4 linked regions of the Neurospora crassa OR74A genome follow. The main gene of each other region encodes a partner of the protein of the gene in region 2 in a complex. Links are inferred from orthologs where the notes say so. Each region holds a gene or a part of one and is shown on either strand. Other genes may lie near its edges.

Region 1 (7,636 bases), on a different chromosome or scaffold from region 2:
GCGGTTGCTGGCACGGAAGCTTTGCTCAGTCATCGTTGATCAGGATGACGCTTATGTATTGGGCATGATAGAAAGGAGAAGTACTTTCTGATCACTCATGTGATGTATATGTTAGATGGTGTATGGTATCAGGGCCGGCTGGGGTGAATCTGGGTAAATATCCTGGCGGACAACTGGCGTGCGGTAGTTTTTATACATTAGGATCTTTTCAATGAACAGACATGACTTTTTTTTTTTTTTTTTTGTTGCATTTTGGTCATCGTTAAGGAACTTGGACTATGTAGTGTAGTCCACTGTTTCCGGCATTGCGCAAGGTGTGCTGAACAAGTCGGTTGATAACGTGATGACTGCTCATTCTATTCTTGTTCATCTTTTTTTGATATTCCACTAACTTGTCCATCCATTCTGATACGTAGCCTAGTAAAGATTTGGAAAGCTTGTCCGAACGCTAGCAAGGAGGCAGGTCTGATAATTCTATGAGATGAAGCACGCATATGTATATCGTGATCAGCGACATGGATGGTGGAAATGAATATTCTGAGCTGGGCAGTATGTGCATTGCGGCGTAGCTGAGACTTCAGTAGATGTGGCCGTGCTTGATCGCGACATTGACCGGAGTGACGACAAGCAAGTGTCGGGGATGGAGAACGATCCATGAATGATCTCAGGAAGGTTCATATCCAAAGTCAAGGAATGAATCGACAGGACACCAAGCAGCCAGACAAGACGCGTGCCACAAAAACGAGGCTTGAGAAATTCGAGACGGGGAAGCATTTCACGAAGTGGCAAGAATAACACTTTCAAAGAAACCAGCCCCATCTTGACTTTCATCTAGCGAAGTCTCCTCACACGTAGTGTACATGCCATGGAGAAGGAGACTGACTGACCAGACTGACTGGGCCAAGCTCATTTCTCAGAAAGAGCAAACACACACACACACACACAAGACAGTCTGCAGTATTATTACATACATACAATGCAAAACCGTCACGAGAGTTCGCAGGAGAAAAATATGTAAGCAGATTCTATCTAACAGCAACCCGGTAGAGCGTTTATAGGCAGGTACCGCTAGCGAATTCGTCTGCTCATGGTGGTTCCTCTCGGCACGGACTAAATGATCAGGACAGTTTTGGAGGAAGAGAAACGTCGTGATGATAAGGAATGGTGCCTTGAAGAAAGAAAAAAAAGAAGAAGAAGAAGGAAGAAGAGAAGGGGAGGGGGGATTGGTGGCAGTTTTATTGCAGCAGTTCAGTTCAAAAGTTTGCTGGACCCGCTTCGGTCAGGTGAGTGGTCATGTGGGGTCGTAGGAGCCGTGAACCTAACTGAGGACGTGAAAGTTATGGTGGGGTAGGTAGCGGGGGGGATTGGTTTTGGAGAAGAAAAAGGGAAGCTTTCGAAAAGGGAAGGCGGTGAAGGAAAGTAAATCGGTTGCCAAGACTCAATTGTTCAATCGCGACCAGGAACGAAACGAGCAGGGAGGGGACCTGACTGATCGGTGCGCGGCGGCAGCGCGGCAGGCGGGAGGGCCCCAGGGAAAGAGTGGGGCTGCGGACATCGAAAAAGTTCACGGCCGGTTTCCCGCGCTGTGTGTCGCCCGTCCGTCCGCTCTGCCCTGCCTGCCTGCCCGCCCGCCCGCCCGCCGCAGCGACCGACCGACCGACCCCGTCCCGCATCCACCCCGAGACTTGCGAGAGAGAGAGAGAGAGTTGCGTTGAGGATTGGCGCGCGCGCAAGATTCACCCGTCCTCCCTCCCTCTCCCCGTCCCGTGTCCCGTTGTCTACACACCCGGGCCCCGTTCAACAACCAAGTCATATATACTGCCCATCATGTCGGCGTCGAGTAGGGGAGCTGCTCTCCTTAGGAGTATGGACCACTTTTTCTTTATCTTCTTTTCGTATCGTCAACTCGTTACGAATTGGTGTTTTCCATGCATGGCTTCCGATCGCAAACTTTAAGCTTAAAGACACCATAACTAACCCGTCGCAATCTGTTCTTTCTCTTCCTTCCAGGCCAACAACGGTCCATCTGCCTACAATGCCGCAACCAAACCCGAGTACTTGCGCCCGCCGGCGTCACCAGCGCACCTAGACGTTTCTACTCCGCCGAGGCCTCTGCCACTGCCACTGCCACTGCCACTGCCACGACCACAACAACACTACCCCCTCCTCACCCGCCCGTCACCACATCAACAGGCACCCACGCCGCCACCTCGACCTCGTCGCAAATCTACCGCATCAAGTCGGGCGTGATCCTGACCCGCCCCCCGCTGCTGACGCGCGACCTCACCCCCTTTGAAGAATCCTTTTACTTTTACCAGAAGCGCCTCAACGAGCGGCTGACGGCCCCCTTCCGCAAGGACTTTTACTTCAAGAAGGACACGGCCGCCGACCTGGACTGGCGCATCAAGCTGAAGGAGCGCCACGGCGTGCCCGCCAAGGACATTGGTCGGTACAACCCGCGCGGCCGGATGGCGTGGAACGACGAGGTGCTGGTGGGGTCGCAGACGTCGTCGAGAAAGCACATGGTGGAGAAATTGCTTGCCGACGCGGAGATGCGCGTGTCGGAGGATGGCGAGGAGATCCCCGCCGAGGACCGGGTCCCCGTCGAGAAGCCGATGCCGAGACGGACGGAGGCGGATGAGAAAGGGGATGTCAAGCGGTTGGATCGCGCGCTGGACAAGACGCTTTATCTGGTAGTCAAAAAGAAGGCGGACAAGGAAGGCGAGGAGGCCAAGTGGATGTTCCCTACGGGCGTGGTGCCTACGGATGAGGGGTTGCATGAGGTTCGTTATATTCCCTTTTTCCCCAACCCAACTTCCAACCATTTTCCAAAACTCGCGGCCAACTAACCTTTGATGATGACGATAAACAGACCGCAGCCCGCATCCTCGCCGAGTCCGCAGGCGTCAACATGAACACGTGGATCGTCGGCCGCGTGCCCGTAGCCCACCACGTCGTCCGCCCCGTCTTCGGCCAGAAGGACGGCGCCCTGCTCAAGAAGGGCGAGAAGATCTTCTTCCTCAAGGGCCGCATCATGGCCGGCCAGGCCGACCTGACCGACAACCTGCATGATCTGGTCGACTTCAAGTGGCTCACGCAGGAGGAGCTGCGCAGCACGTTGGCGGAGGAGTACTTCCACAGCGTCAAGGGCATGTTTGCTGAGAGGTGAACAACACAACACAACAACACCCTATGTAGCCTGGTCTGGTGAAGTGAAGTATGGAAGAACAAGGTTGGAGAGGTGATGATGAGTCGATGGTCGAAGTCGGTGAGACTACACCATTATCTTCCGGGGAAATAGAATGGGGAAGTGCAGTGGGTGGCGGAAGAAGAAGAAGAGAGAAGCATGTGTACAAATGTATTGATATCAAAAGATGGTTTTAGTCGGTCGGTGGCAAGGTACAATTGTTGTTTATGCGCTGAGTAGACCTGGACCGCCCCCTAGCCGAACACAATCAAAGGTCTCGAGGAAGAGAATCAGAGATGGTTTGGAACTTGACTTGACAGTTCAAAGGCCTCGCACGCCTCAGCGTACTTGACCAGGCCGAAGCCAAGCTCGCATGCCATGTCTGCAAGAAGCGGGCGAAGGCTGACATGAAGCACAGGGACGAGAGAGGGTGTTGTTTGTAATGTAAAAACATATGCTGTGTATAGAGATTTGGGATGAAGATGTCATACAGGATGCGAGATGGTTGGTGAATACTACCAGACATCCGCTGGGTTGGTCATACCGCTATCTGAGGTGAAGTCTGATACTAACATACACAAACAAGACAGACTGAGCTAATCACATATCTGTGACCCGATTCTGCATTAGAGACGTGGATAGGTATGGCAGTGACCTCTTCAAGATCCAGCCTTGATCAATGATGAACACCGGTTCTCCCGGCTTGAGACACACAGTCAAAGCTTGTGCCAGCCGCAGACCAAAGCAACGGTACTTTTGAGCTGGTTGAAAGTCCACACCACGGCGGCCTGTAGGATATCTTCACACGTCTCCTACGCCTCCATCAGGACATCCTCCTTGATCATCCATATAAGGCCGTTGGCTTACACCTCTAGCTGGGACACTTCTCGCGCGCGTACCAGTGGTGTACTCCTCCATTCCTCGTACATCATTAACAAATTACTTGTTGGCATTACCACACCACACACAAGTCAAGTCTCAAATCTCCACCCATCTGAAAAGCAATCTGAATAACACACAAATCGTGCCCAAAGCCCACACAAAAAGGAGCTCATACAGGAGGTCCCGATGATCATCCTAGAGATTCCGAATCCGGGACTTTCTGAGCGGAATCGAAGTGGTGAGCGCCAAAACTTCACCGTGGTCAAGGACCAATTTGTTTCCAAACTTTTCCCAGAAAACTGCCTCCCACGGGGGGAGACGATGAACCTCAGGTGCCTCCTGCTTCTCTTCCTCCTCCTCCTCCTCCTCATCACTGCCGTCACCGAAAACACTGGGCGGGGTGTCAACCATGCTTCCAGTCATACCAGAAGCGACAGAAGAACAAATACTTGACCGACGACTGATAATGCTGTTGGGCGCAAAGGGATTGAGCGTGAAGAAAAGCTTGCTTGGTTTTACCGTCTTCATTCTCATGCTCCCGCACGTCTTCTCGGGCCGAGTCTTGCTCAGCCACTGCTCCTTCTGCAGCTTCTTAGCTGCAACCTTGAGGAATGCGAGGTTGGAATACCAGCCGTAAAGACCGTGTTCTTCAGCCATCTTGTTCTGGTATTCGAATCCTCGTACTGGTGTGACCCCGGGTCCTCCCTCTTCCTCTGCGGCAGAGATGAACTCAATTGAAGGCTTGTGCCCGTGGAACGAGGGAGATGGATAGTTGTTGAGGGGATACAGAATCCTGTTATCCACGATCCGAGGGAAAATGTTGTGTATTTCTTTTGTGAATCCGTCGAATGTCTCTGGAAGGGGGCCCAAAAATGTCGAGTAAAAGTGACACAGCATGTCGAGCTGAGAGTGTATGAGCAGGATAGGTCGTCTGAGCCTGTTTCTATCCTCAGCTGCTCTAAGTCTGTCGCGGAAAGCCGAAATAAGTTGATTTCGCAAGTCACGATCCACCACCGATACGTATGCCAAGCATAGTTCGGGCTCGATGTCGTTGGCAAATTGTCCCCCGAGGAGGGCCTCCACCACGTAGAGAAATCCTGCAAGAACAAACGTTAGTGGAACCAGAAAGGCCTGGGTGTCATGAAGTGCTATTGGAGTCGCTTACCTGACTGTCGCGCCAGTGCAATGCGGCGGTTCGTCAATCTCTGTGAGCATCGATCAGTAAAACAGTCCTAAACTATTGAATTGTGGCTGTTTCCCTGACCTCAATGGTGAGCTCTGTGCGACTGAGCTTCGTGATCTGCATGATTCGATTGTCATCTCTAAGAGTTGCGCGACAGTCATCAAAGCAGGAGTAGACAAGTTGGCAGATGAGTCCAACTTGAAGGCTAGTAAGCCGTTCGCCTGAGGGGGTTGCTAAGTCAAGAGTTTTGTCCTGTAAAGGAAAGCGGGCATGAGCTTGATGACCAGCAAGTCGACAGACAAAATCAGAAGGAGTCATCGTACCTCTTCTTTCAGCCAAGATGTGATCTGCTCATTGGCCCATGCCCGAAATTTCTGGGACTCGGCATCTAGTTTGTTGATGTCCAATGGCTTCTTGGTCTCCCAAGGCTGGAGGAAACGCTCCTCGACTGTTTGCGCCTCCCAGCGGGCCAAGTAAGGAACACCCCGTTCCCAAGCTTCGTTAAAACCCCAGCCGTTTGTCGCCAACTGTTGAAGGGTGTCGTATGAAAAGGAAAACGTTCGATTGACGGTCTTTGCGATGAGTTCCGCCTGGATATTTGCAGAAAGGAACCAAGGGGTGATGGCAAAGTTGAAGCTGCGCGCAGAGTATGCTGAGACTCGGAATGTCAGTTACCTCGGTGAACACCCAGGCTAAGAGATTGCCATCGTACGTACCCTTTTGCTTCTCGTCGTATTGGAGGCAAGTAAGGCCAATCTTGGTGATGTGGTAAATCTTGGAGTGATTTACCAATTCGCGGTAGAGCTCCTCCTTGGTCAGGTTAGCTTTGACGACAGCATCGGGATAACCGATTACAGAAAGCGAAATGAACTCGGCATCGGCAATCGCGTCAAGGATAGTGGGTAGATGGCCCCAGAAGTTGACGTTGTCGACCTCCATTTTGACAGAGATCAGGATCGAAGCCGCGATCTAGATGTCCATCAACATAAGTTTTGAGCCTGATGCGAGCAGATCTTGCGAAGTTGAATGCCTAACGACCCTGGAGGAAGGATGATGGTAGGAAAACAATGTTCGAACGCCGAGGTGGGGTGAAAAGGTAATGAAACCCCCGTGAGGAAAATCCCAAGTGTCCTCACTGCCCAGGCATCGCGGTAGACGCGACTTCCGCTATCGGCTTGCCTTCGTCGTACCTTCCTCGCGAACTGGAAGCTGTGCCTGTCACTTCCGTGTGCTGCAGTTCCTTCTTCGTTTGCGACGGGAACGTCACCGACGGACACCTGCCCAGTCCTGCCTGTTTGGTGCCTTGACCGTCCCATAGTATGTTTCATGATGTATCATGATGTATCTGCCGGAACATCAGATGAAGGAAGAGTAGGGAATGTCACCCGGCCAATCGAAGTACCGGGGAAAGATAGAAAAACGGGCAGAGTATCACGTCTGGTTAAGATAATGAAATGAAGTCTTACTGGTATATCGTCTATCACGGGTCGTCAAGCCAGAACGAGAATATCGTTGGCGCTCTTTGACCTATTTTCTCTGGCATATCAAGGCTCTCTCTCTCTGCCTTTCTTGTTCATCACTGGCCCTACGAAGCGCCATCCCTTCTAAATGCTATCCACCAAAGAATCCAACCAGACAAAAACAACGTCACAGCTCATCGCCTTTAGGCCCAGAACTCCTCCAGTGCTCAGAAAGATGCCCAATTCCATGCAGAAAATAATTAAAAGGAAAAGAAGTGAGTTACGCAGGGACCACCCCTCTGTTGGCACTGTATCCCGAGTTGCTGTCTTCTTCTAGTCAACGCCCGCATACAAATCGACAACAATGTTTACGGCCGCCACGAGAATCTCGGCAGCAATAAGGACAATCACTATAAAGTAGTTAGCATGATCCCAGGATGTTGTTGAGGGTGTATGTGTGCATGGCCGCTTACCGATCCACTCTAGTTTCTCTCCGTGACCGTGAGTTAGCTGGTCCTTGAGAACAGCCAACAGATCGGCAATGACATCCATACGCTCTGTCAGCAACTTGACACGCTGGTCCATCTCGAGGTAACTGCGCACGGCCTTGTACAATGGTTCGAGTTGTGGCTCGACCCAGAACAGCTCCGGTGTATCGAGGACGGAGCCGTTTAGGTGAATGTTGACACGCAATATGAAGAGCTCTCCAATTTGCATATTGATCTGTTGCCGGCTGAGGTCGATCTTGCCCGTCAATGCAATCTGCGTGGGGATGTCCTTGCATGTCTCGATGGTTGAGGCAATGAGTTCTTCAAAAAGAGACGTCTATGTGATAGGGTTAGCCAGCAGTCTTACGTCAGGCACAAAGTATAGTAAGGTGAGAAACCAACCTTCACACTCTGGGCGAGAGCGTGGGAAATGGCC
Region 2 (7,209 bases):
GTAAGTTTGTAGCGGAAACCCGGCGTCGAGTCTTCATGCCCACCACGGGCCCCCCGACAGTGACAGTCGACTTCAACGTATGGTGAGACGGCGACGGACCTTCCAGCCTTCACACTTCCAGGTTCTAGTCTTGGCATAGTCCGGAAATCGTCGCGCCGGCCAATCGGCATTCCCACTTCCCGTCCTTTTCTCGATTCTCCCACCCATATGACATTGTATGTATCTCCGCTGCTGAGGCTTACGGCTCGGCGGACAGCTCAACTCTGCAAGACATGCTGACCTCGTGTGCCTCTTTACAACCATGCCATGATTTTGGATCTTGCGATCTGGGTTGGGTGTTGGAGAGGTATCGCGGAAAGGTCTAGGAGAGGTCTCTTGTATCCAGCAGCCATACAACATCCCTTGGCAAATGATTCGTCCCTCTGAATGCCAGGGGAATATGTTTTGCATTGAAACGAAAGAGCCCTGAGACCAGCAAAATTACCCATACTACCTTTGATTACAGTATGCGCAGACAAGGAACGATTAACGACAGGATTGGACAACAATGGTGCGCCGGTTTAGACCCTGAACTACGTGAAGAAATGTCCGAATTGTCTTGATGCTATATCGTGTACGGTAGCCTGGTGGTGCCAGGGTCTGGGTGGGGAGCGAGAACCGGACCGGACTTCGCTTGTCGCATCATCGATGTTGATGGGCAAGATACGGCAGTGGGAAGAAGCCAACCGAAGCCTTGTCTACGGTTACAAGATCGACCTTTGTTTTCTGGTGAGCGGGTGAGGCAAGCGAGCTGAGAGGGATCTCTCAGCTGGATACCCGAACGCAAGATATTTATGCATGCTTCTCGTAAAGTTGATACAAGGCCGATTCTATAAGTACTGCGAACCTCAACGCTGCGCAATCTCTGGCAACCGATTGCGATATCACGACAATTTGCAACTGGCGGCTGAAGTCCAAAAAACACATGGACAAATCAGCGTTCCGGACACCCCTCGTCGCTTTCATTCCGATCCAAAGAATAAAACCAGGCTTGCGAAGTGACTTCTTGGTCTCAGATGACCACATGCAGATGACCGCCAAGCCCAGACAATTCAAACCATCGAATTTAACAACACCGCATCACGATCCCCAGACAGACCCCGCGCTGTCGACACAAGTCGTATGAAGACACGGGCCCTCCAGATCTTTACGGAACCCAAGCAGCAAGTTCGCGATCCCAAAGCCCGAAACAAATAGGGCCATGCATTCGTCCGTGGTTTCCTTCCTCACCACGGCCCCTCGACAAGGAACCGTAGGCATTGAAAGATGAAGAAAAAAATGAAGAAATCTCCAGTCCGAGAAAGGATTGTGGGTTGCCAAAAATTCCCCAGCCAGCCGAAGCCAACTGAGAGCGGTCAGGTATGTAGTTTTCAACTAGCAAAAACGCGATCTCGGACGAATCCTCACTGATACGCGTAAAACCCCTGCACTTGGATGGAGGAAAAAAAAAAGGAGAAGGAAAGTTGAAGATTGGGGGAAGGGTTGGCTTGGTTAAATAGGCGCGGGGAGGTCCCGAGCCTTGGTCCGTGCACCAGTGCAAATTCCGGGAGGAATTCCATGGCGGGCCGGCAGCGGGCTGAGGCGGGACTGCCAAGCTGTTCAGGCAGTCGGCTGTTGGCTGTTGGCTGCAACTTCCATCTCGTCCTCTTTCCATCTTCAGTTGTTCACTTCACTGCAGTTCCTGTTGGCAAAGGGGTCATACCGGCAAGGCTGCCCAGGCATTGCCAGCAGTAGTGAGTGGTGAATGAAACACTGCAACTTCACTCCAAGAAATGACATTTTAGTTGCGCATAACTGTGTCACAGTCACAGACTACTATACCGTTCTACTTAACCCCTTGGCTTTTACACAGTTCTCGCTTATTATCACAATGCAGAGAGGGAACAAGGCAAGCCAATTGCTTCCGAATAACAAGGGAAACTCGTGTAGGTACACCGTACAAAGGAACATGAATATTACACTCATCGTGCTGGACAAACCGTCTTCTTCAGTCCGCCCTCCTTGCGCGATTCATATGGTACAAGAGTGTTGCCGGTGGTTGCACACACACATTCACTTCTGCTGCTGCTGCTTCTTCTCCATCTTCTTCCCTGTCTAGTATCTCGGCGCCCTGACGAGCACCTCACCCAGATTGGGACCCTTTTGGCGGAGCCCTTGGACTGCTACACGGGTGACGAGGTCGCTTTGGTGGTCCTCGATCATCTCCTTGAGCGCGCTGCGCTCAATCACTATCCTGCCCGTCTCCAAAAGATCCTTGACATCGACATCCCACAACTCCAAAGCGCGACCCTCGGCACCGGCCAACTCGAATCCAGTGAAGAGGTTGGGGCGCTTGTCGCCCGTGATAAAGGTCGTCCGGCCAGCCTCCTTGCCCCAGTTCAAGCTGGTCATGAACTCGTGAACCCACTTGCGGACGTAGCCGTCCTCAAGCTCACGGCTGAGCTTACCGCCGCCGGCAAGCCAGAGGAAATCGTTGGGAAGGGGGAGGTCGAGGCCGTCCTCGGTGACGATGAGCTCGCCGCGCTTGTAGCGGTAGGACAGCGCGGTGCGCCAGGCCAAATCGTAGACCTTCTTGTTAAGCTTCGTGCTGAAGTCGCGGGGCTTGGGGCCGAAGGTCTTTCCACCACCTTTCATCAGAGGTGACTGGCGGGTACCACGACGGGCGTTACCGGTACCCTTCTGGGGACTCATCTTCTTGTGCGAACCATGAACTTCGTAGCGTGTCTTTGTAGACGCCATGCCCCGTCGTGTCGAGTCACCTTCGTAGATGACGGCCAAGTGGAGGATATCGCGACGCAGCGGGAGGTGAAGGTGACGGGCTGAGTAGGATTCGAGGGAGCGCGGCTCGAGTTCGGGGAAGGAATAGACGGTCACAGGAACGTTGGTGACTGAATCGTGGGTTAGTACCTTTCCAGCGCGGGCGATGTTGTCGAGGTTGGCAGTCGTGTTGGTGCTCATACTGGGTTGCCATGGTTCCGAGACCGATCTTGTGATATTGGCGGCAGGAGGGGTGGCTACGGAGGCCATCGACCGTCTGCAGGGAAGAATAGAGGATTGGCGCATCTAGTGGACATGGTTTGTACTGGTGAGCGAAAGTCGTAGGCGGGTCAGTAGCAAGACGGTGGACATATGGAGGACAAACCGGCAGTGCCCTGCATGACTTGGAAGCAATGCTCAGCGCATTCATGGCCTCGTTGAGGCTCTTGAGACCCTTGCCGGCCATGGCGGCGTTGTGATATGGCAAGGTGACGGGAGTTACAAGTTAATGCAACTCGGATGTAGTGGAGGTCAGGTATGATATGGTGGTGCTCGAGGCAGTTGTTCGCGGGAGGAAAAGAGAGACTAGCAACCACGGGCCTGTGCGGACGGAAACGTGGAGCGCGCTTCGGGGCGAGGGAGGGACAACGGAACGGGACCGAGACGGGGGCTCTGACGGGATATGCGGTGGTCGTCGCGGGCGCCGGTCCTCCCAGTCAAGTCGCAACGATTCGGCCGACGAGGGGACTGGACGGAGTCTGGAGAAAAAAGATCTGGAGTGCGGGCAACGTGCACGTACAGTGCGCTGCAGCCATCGAGTACCCGTTTCTGGCGAGCTTTCTCGCGGGGCACGCCCGCTACTCTGCAACCCCCACTATAAGTACTTCCAATGAGCGCACTGTGCTGCCGGCCCCGGGGTCCACGAAATTTTGGCCGCAGTTCGAGTCCGGGCAGGTGGGCTGCAGCATGGAACGAATTGAAGGACCAACGAACCCTCCGTCCCGTCCCTGTCCCGTCCTTGACCCCGTCCTCCCCGTCGACGAAACCTTGAGTGCAGCTCCTCTCGATTGAGAGCGATCCCGCACTTCCAATACTCTCCCCTCCGGCCCGCCTGCACACATTCCCACCCGCCATGTCGACGTGTCAGCAGGTCGCGCGGCCACTCGTCCGCTGTCTCCGGCAAACCGGCCCCGGCGCTGCGACATGTTCGACCCGGTCCGTCGCCGTTGCCGCCGTTAGGCCCTTCTCCTCGACCCCGATGCGCAAAGAGGAGGGCGCCACCACCACCACCACCACCTCTCCTGTCGACTCCACCACAACACCACCACCCCTTCCTTCGGCAACCGAGGCTAAGGCGACAGTAGCAGACACAGTAGTCGGAGGTCCAGAGCTTGGGTCGCGAAGGAGAAGGGCCGCCCTGGCCACCACCGGCAACCTCCCCTTCGAGCAGCTGCCGTACCAGTGTTTCCAGGATGCGCGCAAGATCCTGCAGCAGGACCGCGCGGCCAAAATCGCCCAGATTGTCAAGGAGACGGAGAAGATCAAGCTGATCGAGGCGCGGGATGCCAGCGAGTTCGAGGGCGGCGAGGCCGCCAAGCAGACACGGATCAAGAGCTTGAGGAAGTATATTGAGGAGCTCAAGATTCTGGCCGACATCAACGACCCCGAAGTGAAGAGGCGTTTCGAGGATGGCAGAGGTTTGTATTTTCCTTTCCTTTTCTTATGACGTTTACTCCGCTTCGCAAGTCTCAGTCTAACGAACACGTTTCTCTGCCTCCAGGTGACATGACCAAGCCCGTCTACCGTTTCATGGCCGAGCGCCGCTGGCGTTCCATGGACTACAAAATCATTGCGCAGCGTATCTCGCAGTTCCACGTCGTTCCCGACCTTCTGCCCGCCTTCGACCCGACCATGGACGTCAAGCTTTCCTTCCGTGGCTACCAGGTTTCCCCGGGAGCCATCCTCGACTCGCGCGTGACCGAGGTTGCACCCACACTTCGCATGCAAGTCTTCGACAAGGGCGAGCGCCTCCTCACTGTCGTCGTCATCGACTCGGACGTTCCCGACGTCACGCACGACAACTTCAAGCGTCGCTGCCACTTCCTGGCGGCCAACATCCCATGGGACCCGTCGAAGACGGTTCTCTCCCTGCGCAGCGTCGGCGACCGCGTCGAGGGCGACGTCGGCAAGCCCTGGCTTCCCCCCTTCGCGCAAAAGGGTTCGCCCTACCACCGCCTCAACGTCTTCGTGCTTGAGCAAAAGCCCGGTGCCAAGATCGACGGCGAGGCCCTGAAAAAGCATTTGGAGAACCGCGAGAATTTCTCGCTCAAGGGCTTCCGCGAAAAATTCGACCTCGAGCCTGTCGGCTTCAACCTGTTCCGCTCCGAGTGGGACGAGGGCACGGCCGAGGTCATGGAGAGGCACGGCATTCCCGGCGCTGAGGTTGAATTCAAGCGCCAGAAGTTTGCTTCGCTCAAGCCGCCCCGCAAGGCCAGGGGTTGGGAAGCCAAGAGGCAGAAGCCCAAGTACAAGAGCTTGTGGAAGTACGTCAAGCGCATTGCGTAAAAAGCGGGCGTCTGGGTTGGGGTGTAGTAGGTGCATGTGCGAGCGTTGTGGTCAGCAGTATCGTCCTCTTGTTAAAGCTGTTGTTGTAGAGAGCGGCAGTCGTCACGTTACGACGGTGGCGACGACGACTTGTGGCGTGGCAGTGGGACGGACTTTGCCGGTAGCTGAAGCTGTCCTGTCTTGTACAATAGTTATATCAGACACGAGTAGATTAAAAGGGCGTGGAAAACGCCTAATCAATGTACAAATACAAGCCATGAACCTTGATGCCGGCGGGCAAGTAAAGAATCATGTCATCCAATTGATGCTGTCTATAATCCTATAGAGCAGCTAAACATTTGTCTATTTGAACGAAAACATGTATCGTCGTCTGATACACTCATCCTAAGGTATTCTTGACTTTCCTACTATTGCCCCCCCCCCCCTCTTCACCAGCCGTCCGAAAGGGGAAATCAGTAAACAATACAGCCAGAAACTAGCTCCTAACAGCGTGTCCCCGCAATAAACTCATCGTTTCTCAACATTGTTTACTCGATTCGCATCTCCGCATGCTCCATTATATCCACAAATCGATGTTTGTCACACTCTCGCTCCTCTTCCTCTTCCTCTTCCTCTTCCTCTTCCTCTTCCTCTTCCTCTTCCTCCCCATTCTTATCATCATCCGCCATCCGCTTACCCATCAGTGCCATCCCTTCCGACTTCGCTTCGCCCTCTGCCAACCCCTCCTCGCAATACTGGCATGTCTTCCATCCGAGAAGATTGATGTTTGCGCACCGGGCCAGCCTTTTTCCCAGTTCTGTTCTTGTATCGTCTCGCTCATGAGCATCCTCCTCTTCGACCCATTCATAATCATAATGCACATCACTTCCCACTATCGCAGATAATTGATCTTCAACCTTTTCATCCGTCTCTTGATGATGTCTACGACTTTCATGCCCAAATGATACGTCTAAACCTTGCTCCGCATCATCGCTTTCGCCTTCCCCTACAAAATTCTTCTGCTGAATATTCGCCTCTTTCTCCTGCGACACGCACTGGTTGTCCCTGTTCCGTTTTGGTTCATCACTGGACGGTCCATGGTCTTCTTCTTCTCCGTCACTCCATATCGAGACACTAGCACACCTCTGAGCACATTCTTCTTCTTCCTCCTCCTCCTCCTCCTCCTCCAACTCTTCATGGGGATCACTTTCAGAGCAGCCGTCCAGCACACCATACAACTTTCGAAGCCGATCCCGAACAGTCCCACTGCTTCGGTCAACTTCCGCTGTAAACATGTGCTGGGTAGTGGGCGGTGCCTTGGCTTCAGAGTCTGTCCTCTCTTCCTTATATGGTTCTCCATCCATCTTCCTCCTCAGTAACCTTTCCAAAATTGCGACTCTCATCTCCGCCGCTTCTGCTCTATCTCTCCACGCTTTACACTCGCGTTCCGTCTGCCGCAAGTGCTCGCTCAGTTTGATGCTTGTGCTTCGCCGTACGCTGACTTCTGTCGGTAGACTACATTGTCCTGCACCAAAGCTTGCCAACTTGCTGCGGAGATGATTGTTTTCCTCCATCTTGAAGTCGAGCTGCCTCTGCAGACGGCGAATTTGCGTTTGAAAACTCAGGATATCGCTCGCGATAGCCATGTCCATGGCTGGAGTTGGCTGAATTAGAAGCCCTGAACTTTGGCTAATACCACTTTGAAGGAAATGGGGTGATATGTCAACTTTCATTGGCATCCATGAGCTCCGAATGGCATGTGGAGATCCAGTGGGCGCGCTGGAAGGCCTGGGTATTTGAGGTGATCGTGGTAGTTGTACGTATTGGGCTTCATTGCAGAACAAGAGTTTGCTTCTATTATCACCATCA
Region 3 (7,013 bases), on a different chromosome or scaffold from region 2:
CGTACTTCTCTTCTTTGTTCCAAAGGAGGGATATCACTGCGTATGCCCAGCCAACGCCACGAGAACCCTTCCATATGAGAGATGCCTAGTCTGCAGCATGGAACTGCCACGCGCTGATCCGTGGAAGCAAAGCATCCAGCACGAGGCTCGGCTCGCTTCGCAAGGTTGTAACCCGTTTTGTGGCTATACACAACAGAGCTTGCCTTGTCAGATATGGGATATTGTGACGTCCTGTACCGACGAATACTATTCTTTGTTGGGAGTTATTCGAGGCCGGTCGCAACCTTGAGAGTAAAAAGAGTCCAGTCCCCACTGGAGGATAGAAATTGACCGTGTCTCACGGCATATGGCGTTGAAGCCAACTGCATCATAGGCGGACAGGAAGAGACCATACTTCTCAGCCCGGTGGAATAGTAGCGCCACGCTTTGAAGGTAAGAGCCAAAATAGGAAACTTGCCTCTCGGCCATCGTCATTAGGCATATAAGCAGAGAAATGCTGAACGATACAGCAACAGAACCACAGTTCATGGATTGGCAAGCTAACCGGCAACTCAACAGGAGTTTATCCTGTTTTCTTCTTCTTCTTGAACCTGGGACAACGAAGGACAAAGAAATGATGCATTTGCAACTTCTGAACAGAACGGGATAGTCTCATCGAGAAAAAAAAAAGAACATAAAAAGCCCCCAAATATCGCGGTGCCGACAAGGGCTGTTTGGAGGAAGCATTTAACACAACCCCGAGATTCTCTCGTCAACTCCTAACCCTCACCAGCCACCCCGACAGCTGGGTACTTGCTGCTACAAGAATATTGCCCAAAGGCTATGCACTGATCAAATCGTAGTGGGGTGGTCGACGTAGTGCCGCCCCACTGCCTATCGATAAACGAGTTATCGTAGGAATCGTCGCCAGGGCAGCTTCCATTTGGTAGGTAGGTCGGGTAGCTTTAGTGTACGGGACGAACTCCAGAAGCTTGTGTCAACACATCCTCCCGTCCCGTCCCTCCCCATCGTTCGTCTGAAAAATAACCTTCACACGAAAGTACACATATCATTCACACACACATAAACACACACAATGCTCTCTAGGATAACACAACGTATGGCGCTAAAGAGGGCGCTGGCGAGGCCTTCCCCTTGCGCCAAGGGCCGCGCTCAACCCCAGAGGAGATCTCTCACATCGGCACCCAGGCCTGGCGATGGTCCGTTGATGGAGAGGCGAGCTGATCGTGAACTTCCTGGTATGTTCTCCCCGTGTCTCTTCTTCTTCTTCTTCTCTTCTCTGTGTTCTGTATTTCCTGCTGTTTCCGCACCCCAATTGAGTTCCTTAGTACCATGGAAGTTACTGACCCCTCTTCCCTTTGCAACCACAAAAACAGATGTCCAAACCTCCCGCTTCCGCTGGTCCCGCACCTTCCCCATCTTCTTGGGCATCGTAGCCGCCACCTCGATCGCAATCTTCAACTACCAGAAACTCTCTTCCCCCGTGGTCGAGTCAACCCTCTATGCGCTGCGCACGAACCAGCGCGCGCGCGAGTACCTGGGTGACGAGATCTACTTCAAGGCGCAGATTCCGTGGATCTCGGGCGAGATGAACCAGCTGCACGGCCGCATCGACATCAAGTTCAATGTCAAGGGCACCAAGCGCACGGGCGTGATGCGCTTCGCCAGCTTCCGGCCCACGCCCCGAGGCATGTTCGAGACGACCGAGTGGAGTCTGGAGACGGAGGACGGCAAGGTCATTGACCTGCTGGAGGAGGGCGATCCGTTCAGAGCTATCAACGGCCGTGCGATGGAACCTGAGCTGGATGATGATGCAGAGGATGCGAAGGTCAGGGGTTTCAGGCAGATGCCCAAGTAATTGTTTTGGGGTGCTCTTAAGGAGGGAATAGTTTTGAAAAAAGGGAGGATATATATGGGAACCGGGGAAGGTGGTGGTCCCCCTCTCCCCCTCTCAAACAGGATGAGCTGAAGGACAGGATCGTGGTCTGGCTCTCTGATTGAATACCCGAAGGCTGTCAAGGAGGAATATGTGTAAGATATAGGGAGAGAACATACGAACCTATCACGGGCAAGGGTTGTATGTTCAAGTTGTTATACATTTTCGGTAGCTGTACATTTTAACACCCCACGATGCGTGTGTATCATACAAGAGAGAACTAAAAAAAATGAGAAACCGGGAAGGCTTTACCATACATTCCCTTCCATAAACCTAGTACAAACACATACTACAGACCAGAGACAGCCCCCCTCTCTTAAGCCGAAGCTTCTACCGCAGCATTTCCATCCGCCTTCTCTGTCAGCCCATTCTTGATGAGCGAATCTATCAGGCCCTGTCTCCTCGCCTCCTTGAGCTCCAAGTGCAACTTCCTCGCCGCCTGCAACTTCTCCTCCGCATCAGGGAACCGCTCGTTGAGGAGCTGCTTGGTGGCCTCGACAAACTCCTCCGGGGGAGGAGCCTTCTTGACAGCATCCTGAACCTTGACAACCGCACCCTTGTGACCAGCGACCGCGCCCTTGACCACCACGATGCCGAGCTCGTTGTCCACCATCAGAATGGGCAGGTTCTGGACCGTGTGCTGCTGCGCGCCCATGCGACCGGGCATCTTCTTGCCGGGCAACACACGCGAACCGGAGCCCTGCGAACCACCGACGGAACCAATGGTACGGTGGTTCAGCGAGTTACCGTGCGACGCCTCCTGACCGGCGAAGCCGTGACGCTTCATACCACCGGCAAAACCCATACCGCGCGTGATGCCGCGCACGTCCACCACCTGGCCGACGTGGAACCAGTCCGGAAACAGCTGGACGCCGACCGGCAACAAGCCGTCCTGGTTGCGCACCTTGAACTCGGCGAGCGTCTGCTTGGGCGGGATGCCCTTGGCCTCGTAGTAGCCGAGCTGCGGGGCGCCCACGTTTTCGGCGCGGCGCTCGCCCAGGCCAACCTGGACGGCCCAGTAGCCGTTCTTGGCGCGCGTCTTGTTGGCGACGACTTGGACCCGGTCGAGCTGCAGAACGGTGCAGGGGATGCGGGCGCCGGTGCGGCCCATGAAGACGGTCATGCCCTTCTTGACAGCGAGCACGCCGGTGCGCAGGGGTGTAGTCTTCTCGCGGCGCTTGAGGGCAGCGGCCGGGCCCGAGGTGGGCGCCGGAAGACCCTGCGTCACTTGGTTGAATCGTGTGGGCCTGCTGCGCTTCGGGAGCGTGCTCCAGCCGTACTTGACGCCGCGCTTTGTGATCTGAGGGAGGAGGGAGGGAAAGACAGTCGATGGCGAGGAGGCGGAGAAGGTGGGTGTGGTCCGGCCGGCGAGGAGGAGGGAGCTGGCGGCGGCGGTGGTTGTGGTGTGGGTGGCTGACCTCTCGACGAGGGAGAGCTGCCTCCAGCAGCGCGCGGGCAGCCGGGGCGCCATCGTGTATGTGTATAAGTCTGAGGGGAGGGTTGGGTGGTGTTGTGTTGCTTTTGGTGGGGTTGGTCGCAGTCAATTGGACCTGACGGTGTTCGTTGTATCGATGTCGGGGCCCCGGAGCGTCGAGTGGGGGGAATGGAAAGGACACCGGCTGTCTTCGAGACGCGAACCGGAGGGGGCGGAGTTGGGAGGTCGTTTCGGCGCGCGGCCGTTGAGGTGGTTTTGGGGCGGGTGCGGGAGTGGTGGTCGCCGGCTCGAAGCACGGAGCAGCAGAAATTTGATAGCCACTCAGAAATTCAGTAACGGGATGCTCCCCCCCCGATAACGTCGATCGGTTCGGCATCCGGGGATTCACAATTGACAGGGGAGGGGCGGCTATTCACAGGCGGGTACTATGTATTTGGCGGATTGTGGTGTACAGAGTGTGACATCTCTACAAGAAGGGTTAGGGTTAATTGCTTCTTTCTATTCACTTAGGTAGTTTTACTTCCGCTGGAGTGCGGGCGCATTTTACCGCATTGGATCCCCCAAACTCAACCGCTAAAACATCTTCACTCGAACCACCACCACACAGCCCCAGAGAAGAAATCGCGTTTTTGCATCTTGGTTTCCCTTCTTGCACGAAGTGTCTTTTTCATTGTCGCCGTTTTGAGATACCCAATATTCCCATCTTTCATTTCTTCCAAAGGCATCAGCAACCATGGTCTTCTATTTCACTTCGACCGTCGTCAGTCCCCCGGCTTTCATTTATGTGGGGAAAGACAAGTTTGAGAGTACGTGAAGATGATCATCAGCCACAATTGGTGGTATTCTGCATCTCCTTGTGGAATATGCATATATCTTGACACACTCATGGACATTGCATATTTGACTTGGATATAGATGTCAGCTCGTCACTCATCTAACATGCTATTTTATAGACGAGGAGTTGATCCAACACGGCTGGGAGGAGGATGTATGGTAAGTTTCACCCCGGCCAAGCCTAGTTCGGCATTTTCTAACTATTCTTCGTAGGGTATGACTCCCCATGAGGTTCTCGTCATATTATGCTCTGTTTCTCATTACTAGGCCCTACTTAGTTCCATGTCGACAAACTTTCCAGTGCTCATATCTACCTCCGTCTCCCAGAGGGTTGGACATGGGAGAACATTCCCGAGGAGCTCCTGACCGACCTTGGTCAGTTGACCAAGGCCAACTCCATCGAGGGTAAGTTGCTGCTTTTGAATTCTACTGTCAGGAAGTCATGGGGGAATTCGTGAGGACTAACTCTGTGCTTTTGTAAAGGTAACAAGAAGGACAACATCACAATCATCTATACCCCATGGGCCAATCTCAAGAAGGACGGCAGCATGGCGGTCGGCCAGGTCAGCTTCAAGGATCAGAAGAAGGTGAAGCGCATTTTGATCGCGCAGCGCGAAAATGCTATCGTCAACCGTCTGAACAAGACCAAGGTTGAGAAGCACCCGGACCTGCGAGAGGAGAAGGAGCAGCATCTCAAAGAGCTGCGCAAGAAGGATCAGGCGGCGGTGCTGGCGCGGAAGAAGGAGGAGGATCGCCTGAAGAAGGAGCGGGCCGAGAAGAAGTGGCAGAAGGATCATGCCTACGATGAGCTCTTTGCTGAGGAGAACATGATGAACTCGAGCAATCAGGATCGGGATGAGACCTGGGAGGATGATTTCATGTAAATTTGCTTGAGAACAAAAGAAACAAACCTACTGAAGTTTTCCAAGCTACATAAGACCTGAAAATCCTTTGATGCCCGAAAGCCATCGTCAGAACCTTCCCAACCTTGATTCCTATCTGGTATGCTGCCGCCTTTAAAGCAGCAGACTAAGAACTAAACCCGGTTTGACCCATCACTAGAGGTAGCTCCTTTATCCACTCTCGAACCTCTTTCTACCCGTCACTCATTCCTCACTCCCCTCAAAAGGTCCTCTCTACTACCCCTGACGGTTATATCCCACACCTCTTGCATCCGCCGTTCCCTTAACCTTATGATCCGTCGGCCTAGCCGCCGCCTCGTAGACGATATTCTTCGGCGCTTGTCCCAACGTCATCCACTCCCCCTTGAAACCAATATAACTGATTCTCGTTTCATCCTCCTCTCCTTGCGAAAAATTATCCGGGAAAAACAAGCACAGTCTTTGCACGGCGTTGAACTTGGCTCGCTTGACGGGCAATTCCTGGATTTCCGAAGTCTGGGAGAGCTCGAATTCTTGTGTGGGGGTAGAGTCCTCAGCTTGACCGAAATCGTGGATGTCGGCGTTGGCGAGGAGGCGGAGGGTGCGCGGGGCCGAGGGGGAGGGCGAGGTGCGCAGGAGGACCGAGTGCAGTTTGATTTGGGCTGTGAAACTATTCGGGAAGGGTCGGTGTGTTAGTGATTGGGTGTGTATGATGGGGTCATTGTATGATGTGTATGTTACGGGAGAGGAGTGACATTGAAATTTCGTGATGATGTGAATGACTTGAGTGATCAAGTGTGATAAAGTAGTAGTGTGACATACGGAACGTTGATAATCAGCTGCTCATCAGCATCGCTCACCACCTCGGGCTCCGTCGCCAATCGTTCGGCCCACGTCTTCTTGATAATGGCCTGGCCGGAGCCGTGCACCTGCTCGTTCAGCGTGGTGATCTCGTCAAAGTTGATGTGCTGGTACAGCGAGAACTGCACGGCGGGGGTGATGTCGTCAGAGTGGTCGTGCTCTGCCCCGCCCTCATGATGGTGGTGGTGGTCGTCGTGCTCGTCGTGGCAGTGGTGCGACATTGTCCTGAGTTGAGGTGTTGGAATATAAGATTTCTGTGCCTCGTGTTGTCAAGGTTTTGATGATTGATATTGACGACGGGGTGGTTGTTGAAGTTTGGTGAAAGTGAGGGGCCAAGACAGAATGCTTCCGTCGTAAACCTGCGTGATTTGAGTTGACCGTTAGTTCTTCCAGTGGGTGATTGCAACCAACTACATTTCAACGACGACCGTCAACAAAAATGCCTTTCGGAGATCGGAAAGCTAAATGGAAGATGTAGAATAGCATGCAAACAACTTTGACGAAAGTCGTTTACAAGAATTGGCCTATACATTGAACGCCGAATCTTCGAGTGTTTTCCGCACTTTCTCATCCAAACATCCATCGATCAGCAAGCAAACGAACTACCTCCACCATCGGTCACACATATCTATTTGTCACACAACATCACGTCAGGATCAAGCACGTAAAACACGAGGTTGCCATACGGTCATATTCATCTATCTGAATCCCATCCGCTTCTTCACCTTTTGCTTCTTCTTCACATGAGAGGGCCTACCTCCATGCGGTCCTGCAACAATTTGTGACATGGGCTGCGATGCAAAAAACTGCGATGACTCCGGCTGAGTGTTCTGCGTGAAAGCAAAACCTCTCGGCTGGCTCGACTGAATGGCAAAGGGCAGTGGTTGACTTTCTGCCTTGACAGCTTCAACTCCGCGAATCCTCGCCAGCAACTTCTCTCTCTTCCTGCGCTTTGCCTCGAGCTTGCGCCTTCTCCTAAGACCAGCATCATCTTCCTCGTCATCTTGACCTGGCTTCCATGTGATGACATTGGGGTCTTCACCAAGCTCCCAGTGAGAGGTGACTC
Region 4 (7,113 bases), on a different chromosome or scaffold from region 2:
TTTTGAGAGAGAGAATAGGAAAATTGGACGAACGCGGTCTCCATTGGGTTCAGAGACAAAAGGCATACCGTCATCTATAACTTCATGATATGTCGTCAAGCGCTAGCGAGATCCAACCGCATCGTAGCCTCTTTTGAGAACATTGTATGGGCCAGAACCCAAATGCTAGCCCGTGAACGCAGCTGCACCCAAACAAGCTTAAGGCAGCTGGTCAACGGGGCGGTCCTTGAGCTTGTCAAGTGGGATCTCGGCGTCAACAACGCCATAGAGAACAGCGTTCTTCTTGGCCCACTGCCGAGTAAGGATGGAGGCTGAGAAGATGTCAGAATAAGATTACGAGACAAGCAAGGCCGGTTGTTTGACATACCTTTGAGGAACTTCTTGCTGCCATACTTCTTGAAGAATGCTTCATGAATAACGGGACGGGCCAGATAGTCAACCATGAGATGGAATACAGGCTCGATCTCCTCCTCGGTATAGCCAGCATAGTAGGCGATAGTCTTGTCCTGTTATTATGAGTATTAGCCACAGGATGATATGGCGAGTATTATAAATCCATCTGTATAACTTACCCATTCTCCGCGGCCAAGGATCAATCGTGCCAAGTACATAGCAGCAGCAGCGACATGGCTGGGACGGTAAGGCATGAAGCGATGGTCCAGCAAGCTGATCTCCATCAGGTACTTGCCAAGGGTACGGGATTGAATATCGTAGTTGTCTGCCTTGGAGATGCGGCGGAGAAAGTTCATAGGGTTGGGGTAGCTAAGGTCGTAGTTGAGGGTCGATAGAATGAAACGCTCAGCACTGAGGATCTCAGCTTCAGTAAAGCCGTCATCTGCAACGTGGCGAAAGTTGGCAATATGGGGGGAGAGGACCTCCTCGTACTTGGAGGCAACAAACATTGCAGTGATACCCACGAGCTGAAGACGATCGAGCTGGACGACCTTTTCGCTCAAAAAACGATCGATGATGTTAACGGCAAGGAACAGCGTCTCGGGCAGCAGATGAAACCGAGTATGAACTTCAATGAGCCAGTCGATGAGAATGCCACGAGTCTTCCACTCGAGGTCGTCCTGGTGGCTCATGTACTGAGGGTTCGGCACTGATTTGCACTCGAGGTCGCGGAGGTACTCGAAAATTTCCGTCGCATACTCGGCAACCATAAGAGGATCCTCGAGGTCTTCAGTGTCAAGGTCCTTAACACCTGGCGGATACACTGACTGAACAGGGACGACATCGCGGACGACGGGAGCGGGGGGCTCGGCCATCGGCTTCACAGCCTTGGAGGGAGCATCGTTCTCCTTGGCCTCAGTCCTGGAAACCTTCTTCTTCTCGGGCTCTTCGACGTGGATCTTCTTGCGGGCCGGTTCATTTTCAACAGGTGCTGATTCCTTGATAGGGGCGAGCTTGGATGTGGACGGAGGAGGCTTGCGCTTGGCGGGAATGGTGCCAGCACCAGCACTGGGGCCGACCGTCTTGTTGGGCTCTTTGTTGGATAACGCACGGCGGGCAGTAGTCGCAGTACGGCTCGTAGCAGTTGTGGTCTTCTTCTGGATGCCACTCGGCTGGGCCGCCTTCGAAACTAGGCCGGGCTTCGCAATCGCTTTCTTCGTTCCCGCAACTTCAACCTTGGTGACATTGCTGACGTCGCCCAGTGCATTCCGCTTACCGACAGTGCGAGCGGCAGTGGCGGCGGTGGTTGTCGAAATCGTCGTCTTTTTGGTCTGCATGGTTTTCGCGGGCATGGACAATTCGTCGACATGGAGAGTGGCCGCCTTGGCCCTCGTCATACGTGTCGTGGTTGCTGTACTGTTCTCGTCATTTTCGTTCGCGAGTGAACGCGGGTTCCTCGTCCGCTGCAGGGTTGGGGTTGAGTTAGTACAAACATAGCATGGCTGTGGACAACCAATTGCATGATTGAACGACAATGCCAACTGTGCAGTAAAACTTACAAGATTCGGCATTCTCGCCTAAACCTATGCTGGCACAGAAATTGATGTGAAATGTGTCTACTGACGGGGAGGTCAGCTAGCTATTTGGATGTTTCGTTTTTGGCGAAGTTCGAGGTGGAGAGACTGGTTCTTATTGAAAGACCGATCCCTGTCACGGAGGGAGGGTTGACGCGAACGACGAGCGAACGACGAGGGAATTGTGAACACGGACAGTCAATGAGACTAGACGCACCGACTACAGAGCCCAAAGATGTCGGGAAGAATGAACACCGGCGGTCGGCAGTGATGTCGCTGTCGGCACGTTGTTGAAGCCGGAGATCAACCCTGGGTCCCGCAACAGAAGGTTGGCTGAGACCGTGAAGGATGTGCTGTTGTTGATCGGGAATGTTGCCCAATTGGTGACGACGGTCGGGGCAAAGCACGCAATGGCGACGTCCGGAAAGATTGACTGATCGAGGCCAAGGGTTGCCGTCGTGATGGCAAGGCCTTGCGAGTCCAGGTGATGCGGAGTGGGAATGCTAGTTGGCGGACGGGAAAGGGAGGTATGATGTTTACGAGGCAGAGAAGAATGGGAGTCTTGTTTTTGCGAGGTCTTGGTGGAGGTGCCAGTGCCAGTGCAGCCCAGTGGATGGGGCTGGAGTGCCAGTGGACGGAGCGGGCGTGTGGACACCCACCCAGGTACCGGATCGGACGTGCTGGGACTGGGGCAAAGTACCTCTAGTGCCCTTCGAGGTCACTAGTGCAGCGAGGCTTTGAAGCTTTGAAGTCCAAGACACCGGAAAGGGAACAAAATTACCACAACAAGTGATGACGCGCCGTGCAATATGGGCTTCTGTCAGACGCACGTCTTGCTGTTCCCTGCCTTGCTAAGTTGTCGAATGATGAGGATGCCGTTGTCGAATAAGCAAGTCGAAAAGGTTGTACTGCCGAAGAAATGCAGGCTTCAATGGCCGGAGTCGAAAGTTGCTGTTGTTGCTGTAGCTGAAAGTCGATTGTCGTGCGTCCAGGGAAATGGTTGTTAGTCGGATGGTGAGTGTCGAGTTGCAGAATCCGGAGTCGAGAAAGCGGCCAGGAAATTGTACTTGGGCCGGGCGCTGTTATGGAGCACTGCAAGCAGAAGGGACAAAGAAGGGTCGCACCTCAAACACGCAGTGAAGGAACTGAAGGCGGCAAGGCCACCACAGGCCACGTCCCTCCCTTGCTGTCATCCGCCCGCCGTCAGGGCAACACTGGCAACCGCAGGGCAATTCGGTCAAATCAGCTTCTGATTGGTTTAAACTGTCCAACAGGCTGCGCGTGTCCAGCAGCTGTCAACACTAAGGTACCTTACCTATCCTGGGTCAGACGCGACTGGAACCTTGGGCGGGCAGGAATGGAGCACGATGCACGCTCTTTCCCCGCGCCGCACTGCACCTTCACGCGGTGATGACTTGGTGCCTTCCTCCCGCGCCCGCGTTTTGGAGCGCTGTTTGCAGCACTTGTCCCCTGGAAAGAAACAAGGCTCTTCACCAAAGGGCAGTGGCTGCACCACACAAGCCACACTATTAGCAGCCACAATCGTCAGGGATCGCAAACCAATGCACGGCTGTGATTGGCGCATCAGCCGAGCAATTTTCCACAAGCAGTTATCGACGACAAGCCGGCGACGAGAACCTCGACGAGCAGCCTGCGAGGACGTCGCATTCCGGTTGCTGGAAATCGCAGCAACTGTCCCCTCCAGCACCCTCACCTCCCCAGAGCTCACCGCCAGGAGCTTGGGATATCCGACAGCGATCGAGCAGCCATGCTGCAGCCTCAATTCCGACCCCTCCTTGCGGGGACAGCTTCCTTTGCCCAAACCGTGCTGGGCCGCACCGTCGCCAGATGCTATGCCACCAAGGCCGCCACACAATCAGCAAGCAGCACCAGCACCAGCAACACCAGCAAAGATGCCAAAGCCAAGATCGTCACTCCCTACGTCCGGGACGCCGGCATGATGAGAACCTACAAGCCGCACACGCCCGGTATCCGTCACTTGAAGCGCCCGATCAACGACCACCTGTGGAAGGGCCGGCCGTATCTTCCTCTTACCTTTCCCAAGAAGGGTCAATCTAAGGGTGGCCGTAATCACAGTGGTCGCGTCACCGTCAGACATCGCGGTGGTGGTCACAAGCGAAGAATCCGCATGGTCGACTTTGAACGATGGATCCCCGGTCCGCACACAGTCCTGCGCATTGAGTACGATCCCGGTCGCAGCGCGCACATTGCGCTGGTGAAGGAAGAGGCCACAGGGAGGAAGAGCTATATTGTTGCGGCGGATGGTATGAGGGCTGGAGACGTTGTGCAGAGCTACCGGTCCGGTCTTCCCCAGGACCTGCTCGATTCTATGGGTGGTGTCGTTGATCCTGGTATTCTGGCTGCGAGGACATGCTGGAGAGGCAACTGCTTGCCTGTGTCCATGATTCCGGTTGGAACCCAGATCTATTGCGTTGGCTCCCGTCCGGATGGCAAGGCTGTTTTCTGCCGCAGTGCCGGAACATATGCAACCATTATTTCCAAAGAGGAGGAGACCCGTGAGGATGGTACAAAGGTTATGACGGGCAAGTTCGTCAACGTAAGACTGCAGAGCGGAGAAATCAGAAGGGTCAGCAAGGACGCTTGCGCCACCGTTGGTATTGCCAGCAACATTATGCATCACTACAGACAACTGGGCAAGGCCGGTAGAAGCCGTTGGCTCAACATTAGGCCTACTGTGAGAGGTTTGGCGATGAACGCAAGTGAGTAGACTCCCAGAACAATCCGTTTGTCAAGCGAGCAAAACCAACTAACGGCCTGGTAGATGACCATCCTCACGGTGGTGGTCGTGGTAAGTCGAAGGGTAATAGGCACCCTGTTTCTCCTTGGGGTACACCTGTAAGTCATGCCCCTTTATTTCCTTCCTTCCTCTGAACAGACGCCTTACCCTCTTTTTCTGTAGGCCAAAGGTGGTTACAAGACTCGCAGAAAGTCCAACGTCAACAAGTGGGTGGTTACCCCCCGGGTCCGCAACATGGGAGTCCGGAGGAACAAGAAGACTACATGAATAAAATAACCCACTGTGCTCAACTTGGGCTATATACCCACCATCTTGTACAATATGTAGTGAAACTTATTCATTTGCTCGCAGGCCGGCAGTTCGAGGGCTCAGTATATCACCGGAAGGATGCCATGTGTGGGTATTGGGCCCAATAACATCGTCTGTTGGAGATCTGCCGTGTTTGTCTTTGTTTTCCACTTTCAACTGAGCAACTCTACGGCGATGTGGTTCAGGGCCCGGCCAAGGCCGTGACTGTGCCTATAAATCGGCATACGACTTCAGGAATGTACCAAAGACTACACATGGGGTTTGTTAGACTCCGTTGTCATATACCGACCCCAACTTAACAAATTTTTTATTGATTTATTTACTTATAAAATTTGTTTAATTTTCCTAAAAAAATTAAAAAATTTTTTTTTCCCTTTTTTTTTTTTTTTTTTTTTTTTTTTTTTTTTTTTTTTTTTTTTTTTTTGCGTTGATTATAGACAACAGACTACAATGAAAGAAACTGAAGGCGTTTGGTCATTGGAGTCGGTCGAGTTGTCCAATCACATTTTGCGTTCATCTCTTCTGCAAGGAGCAGAATAACAATGCCGTCCCCCTTCGCCCTTTCAGATCTGCTACCGGTTCTGTGAACGCCATCCTGAAAAAAAAAAAAAAATAGGGGCGTAAATAGCCGCGTGGGTAGACCTGAGCGCAGCGAGATTTATATGCATTCCAGCGGTGGTATCTTTACAGTGGTTGACTGTGTAAGGGCATATCACGACAGCGTCTCGGTATGCGCCCGCAATTCGGCCATACATACAACGCCATGAAGGAACGAGGGTCGACAAAAGGCAAGCATAGTCTCATCTCCATAGAGGTATACCACAAGATCAACGGGGGTGATGAGTACACTATTTGAAGCGTCTCTTCGGTGGTTTGGGCAGAGTTTAAGGTTTACGCCATTCTTTTAGTGTACATACTATTTCACAACGTTTCGCTCGTTCAGGGCAGTCCCCTTTGTACTTCTGGAGATTGAATGGGATCGATGGAATCGGTAGTTGTACATTAACTAGTAAGGAAAACTGAGTGCGCCACCATGTCTGGTACCTCACGACCCCGACAGGTCGGCACAATAAATATATACCTAGGTACCTAGGGTACATCGTACTTCTCTGCGGTGCTTCTCACCCTACACTAAATGAGTTAAGATGCACTAACATGGAAAAGCTGGGGAGTAGGTAGGTACCTATGGTTGCCCCCATACATACCTCATCCATGTCGGGTAGCGTTAGAGGTACGCGGGACTGGGGTTCCACTTGGCTAGGGGCCACTGCCTAAACCACCCCCCTGAATGATCTAGATTTCCAGGTTGTTACAAGATCGTTGGTTTCGGTTGTAACCTCAACCGGCATGCCACCGAGGAAGCTGCCATTCTCTTGTTTCCCATCCGCTCTTGACCGAATAACTCGTTCACCCTCGATAATCTCGTTTTCACATTGGTTTTCTTCTCTTCGCTTCATTTAAACTTGGTTATAACTGTTCTCATTCTTTCTGAGCCGCCGTTACGGGACTCACTGCATCGCCGCTGGGAGTACTTATTGTCGACCTGTCAACTGACTTCAAGCAGATGGGAGGAGTGCGGACTGCGGGGACCAAGCAAAAATGTATGTAGTGTACCTAGTGCAGAAACAGGCATGGGGAATCTATGTTAGCGTTACACGTGCGGTCTTAGAAAGAGGCTTAGACGTCTTGGGTAGGAAATCGTGGACGCTGATCGCTGGGTGAAACTCATTTTCTGTCAGACCGACAGGTTCGATACAAGAATGAACTGTTCAACCTCTGCCGTGCTCTGCACACTCATTACATGCACGCGCCAGGTCTCCGGCTTCACGTACATACTGCGTACTCCCGTCACGACATCTTTGTGCTAGTCCGGCTAGGTTGTAGGCTAGGTACTAGTACTTAGTTTCCCCAAAATATCATCTCGGTTCCCAACCACTGCAGCCCATAGGTTTGTATTAGCCTGGTCACACCTCTTGTCGCTTCACCCTTACATTCAGCTGCGGCTTGCGCCTATTGAAACATCCTCCTATTACCTACCCACGCTACTCTTTCCGGCTG

Evidence for each region.
Region 1: NCU01474 (region 2) and NCU07560 share a complex: the UniProt entries of both Saccharomyces cerevisiae proteins name them as parts of the mitochondrial large ribosomal subunit. The link is inferred for Neurospora crassa OR74A from reciprocal best matches to the Saccharomyces cerevisiae genes YML6 and MRPL17.
Region 3: NCU01474 (region 2) and NCU06749 share a complex: the UniProt entries of both Saccharomyces cerevisiae proteins name them as parts of the mitochondrial large ribosomal subunit. The link is inferred for Neurospora crassa OR74A from reciprocal best matches to the Saccharomyces cerevisiae genes YML6 and MRPL9.
Region 4: NCU01474 (region 2) and NCU02757 share a complex: the UniProt entries of both Saccharomyces cerevisiae proteins name them as parts of the mitochondrial large ribosomal subunit. The link is inferred for Neurospora crassa OR74A from reciprocal best matches to the Saccharomyces cerevisiae genes YML6 and RML2.

The regions. Positions count from the first base shown.
Region 1 is NC_026503.1:4,356,546-4,364,181, forward strand, and holds NCU07560 (50S ribosomal subunit L30), read left to right. Parts: upstream 1-1,480; 5' UTR 1,481-1,827; coding exon 1,828-1,864; intron 1,865-2,010; coding exon 2,011-2,783; intron 2,784-2,872; coding exon 2,873-3,169; 3' UTR 3,170-3,734; downstream 3,735-7,636. Other genes in the region: NCU16690 (hypothetical protein), read right to left, coding at 508-831; NCU07559 (hypothetical protein), read right to left, coding at 4,265-5,166, 5,235-5,274, 5,576-5,910, 5,969-6,191; NCU07558 (sporulation protein RMD1), read right to left, coding at 7,046-7,122, 7,186-7,537, 7,603-7,636. UniProt on the Saccharomyces cerevisiae protein: Component of the mitochondrial ribosome (mitoribosome), a dedicated translation machinery responsible for the synthesis of mitochondrial genome-encoded proteins, including at least some of the essential transmembrane subunits of the mitochondrial respiratory chain.
Region 2 is NC_026505.1:4,617,605-4,624,813, forward strand, and holds NCU01474 (60S ribosomal protein L4), read right to left. Parts: upstream 3,655-7,209; 5' UTR 3,263-3,654; coding exon 3,182-3,262; intron 3,103-3,181; coding exon 2,134-3,102; 3' UTR 1,799-2,133; downstream 1-1,798. Other genes in the region: NCU01473 (mitochondrial large ribosomal subunit YmL35), read left to right, coding at 3,929-4,493, 4,577-5,361; NCU01472 (hypothetical protein), read right to left, coding at 5,889-7,209. UniProt on the Saccharomyces cerevisiae protein: Component of the mitochondrial ribosome (mitoribosome), a dedicated translation machinery responsible for the synthesis of mitochondrial genome-encoded proteins, including at least some of the essential transmembrane subunits of the mitochondrial respiratory chain.
Region 3 is NC_026502.1:2,064,201-2,071,213, reverse strand, and holds NCU06749 (mitochondrial 54S ribosomal protein YmL9), read right to left. Parts: upstream 3,751-7,013; 5' UTR 3,408-3,750; coding exon 2,253-3,407; 3' UTR 2,043-2,252; downstream 1-2,042. Other genes in the region: NCU06748 (hypothetical protein), read left to right, coding at 1,076-1,238, 1,377-1,858; NCU06750 (coiled-coil domain-containing protein 25), read left to right, coding at 4,105-4,177, 4,325-4,364, 4,507-4,610, 4,689-5,089; NCU06751 (DUF1000 domain-containing protein), read right to left, coding at 5,345-5,756, 5,909-6,168; NCU06752 (hypothetical protein), read right to left, coding at 6,646-7,013. UniProt on the Saccharomyces cerevisiae protein: Component of the mitochondrial ribosome (mitoribosome), a dedicated translation machinery responsible for the synthesis of mitochondrial genome-encoded proteins, including at least some of the essential transmembrane subunits of the mitochondrial respiratory chain.
Region 4 is NC_026501.1:3,454,186-3,461,298, reverse strand, and holds NCU02757 (mitochondrial 54S ribosomal protein RML2), read left to right. Parts: upstream 1-3,351; 5' UTR 3,352-3,735; coding exon 3,736-4,708; intron 4,709-4,770; coding exon 4,771-4,844; intron 4,845-4,908; coding exon 4,909-5,013; 3' UTR 5,014-5,382; downstream 5,383-7,113. Other genes in the region: NCU02758 (G2/mitotic-specific cyclin-B), read right to left, coding at 199-311, 368-506, 573-1,856, 1,953-1,964. UniProt on the Saccharomyces cerevisiae protein: Component of the mitochondrial ribosome (mitoribosome), a dedicated translation machinery responsible for the synthesis of mitochondrial genome-encoded proteins, including at least some of the essential transmembrane subunits of the mitochondrial respiratory chain.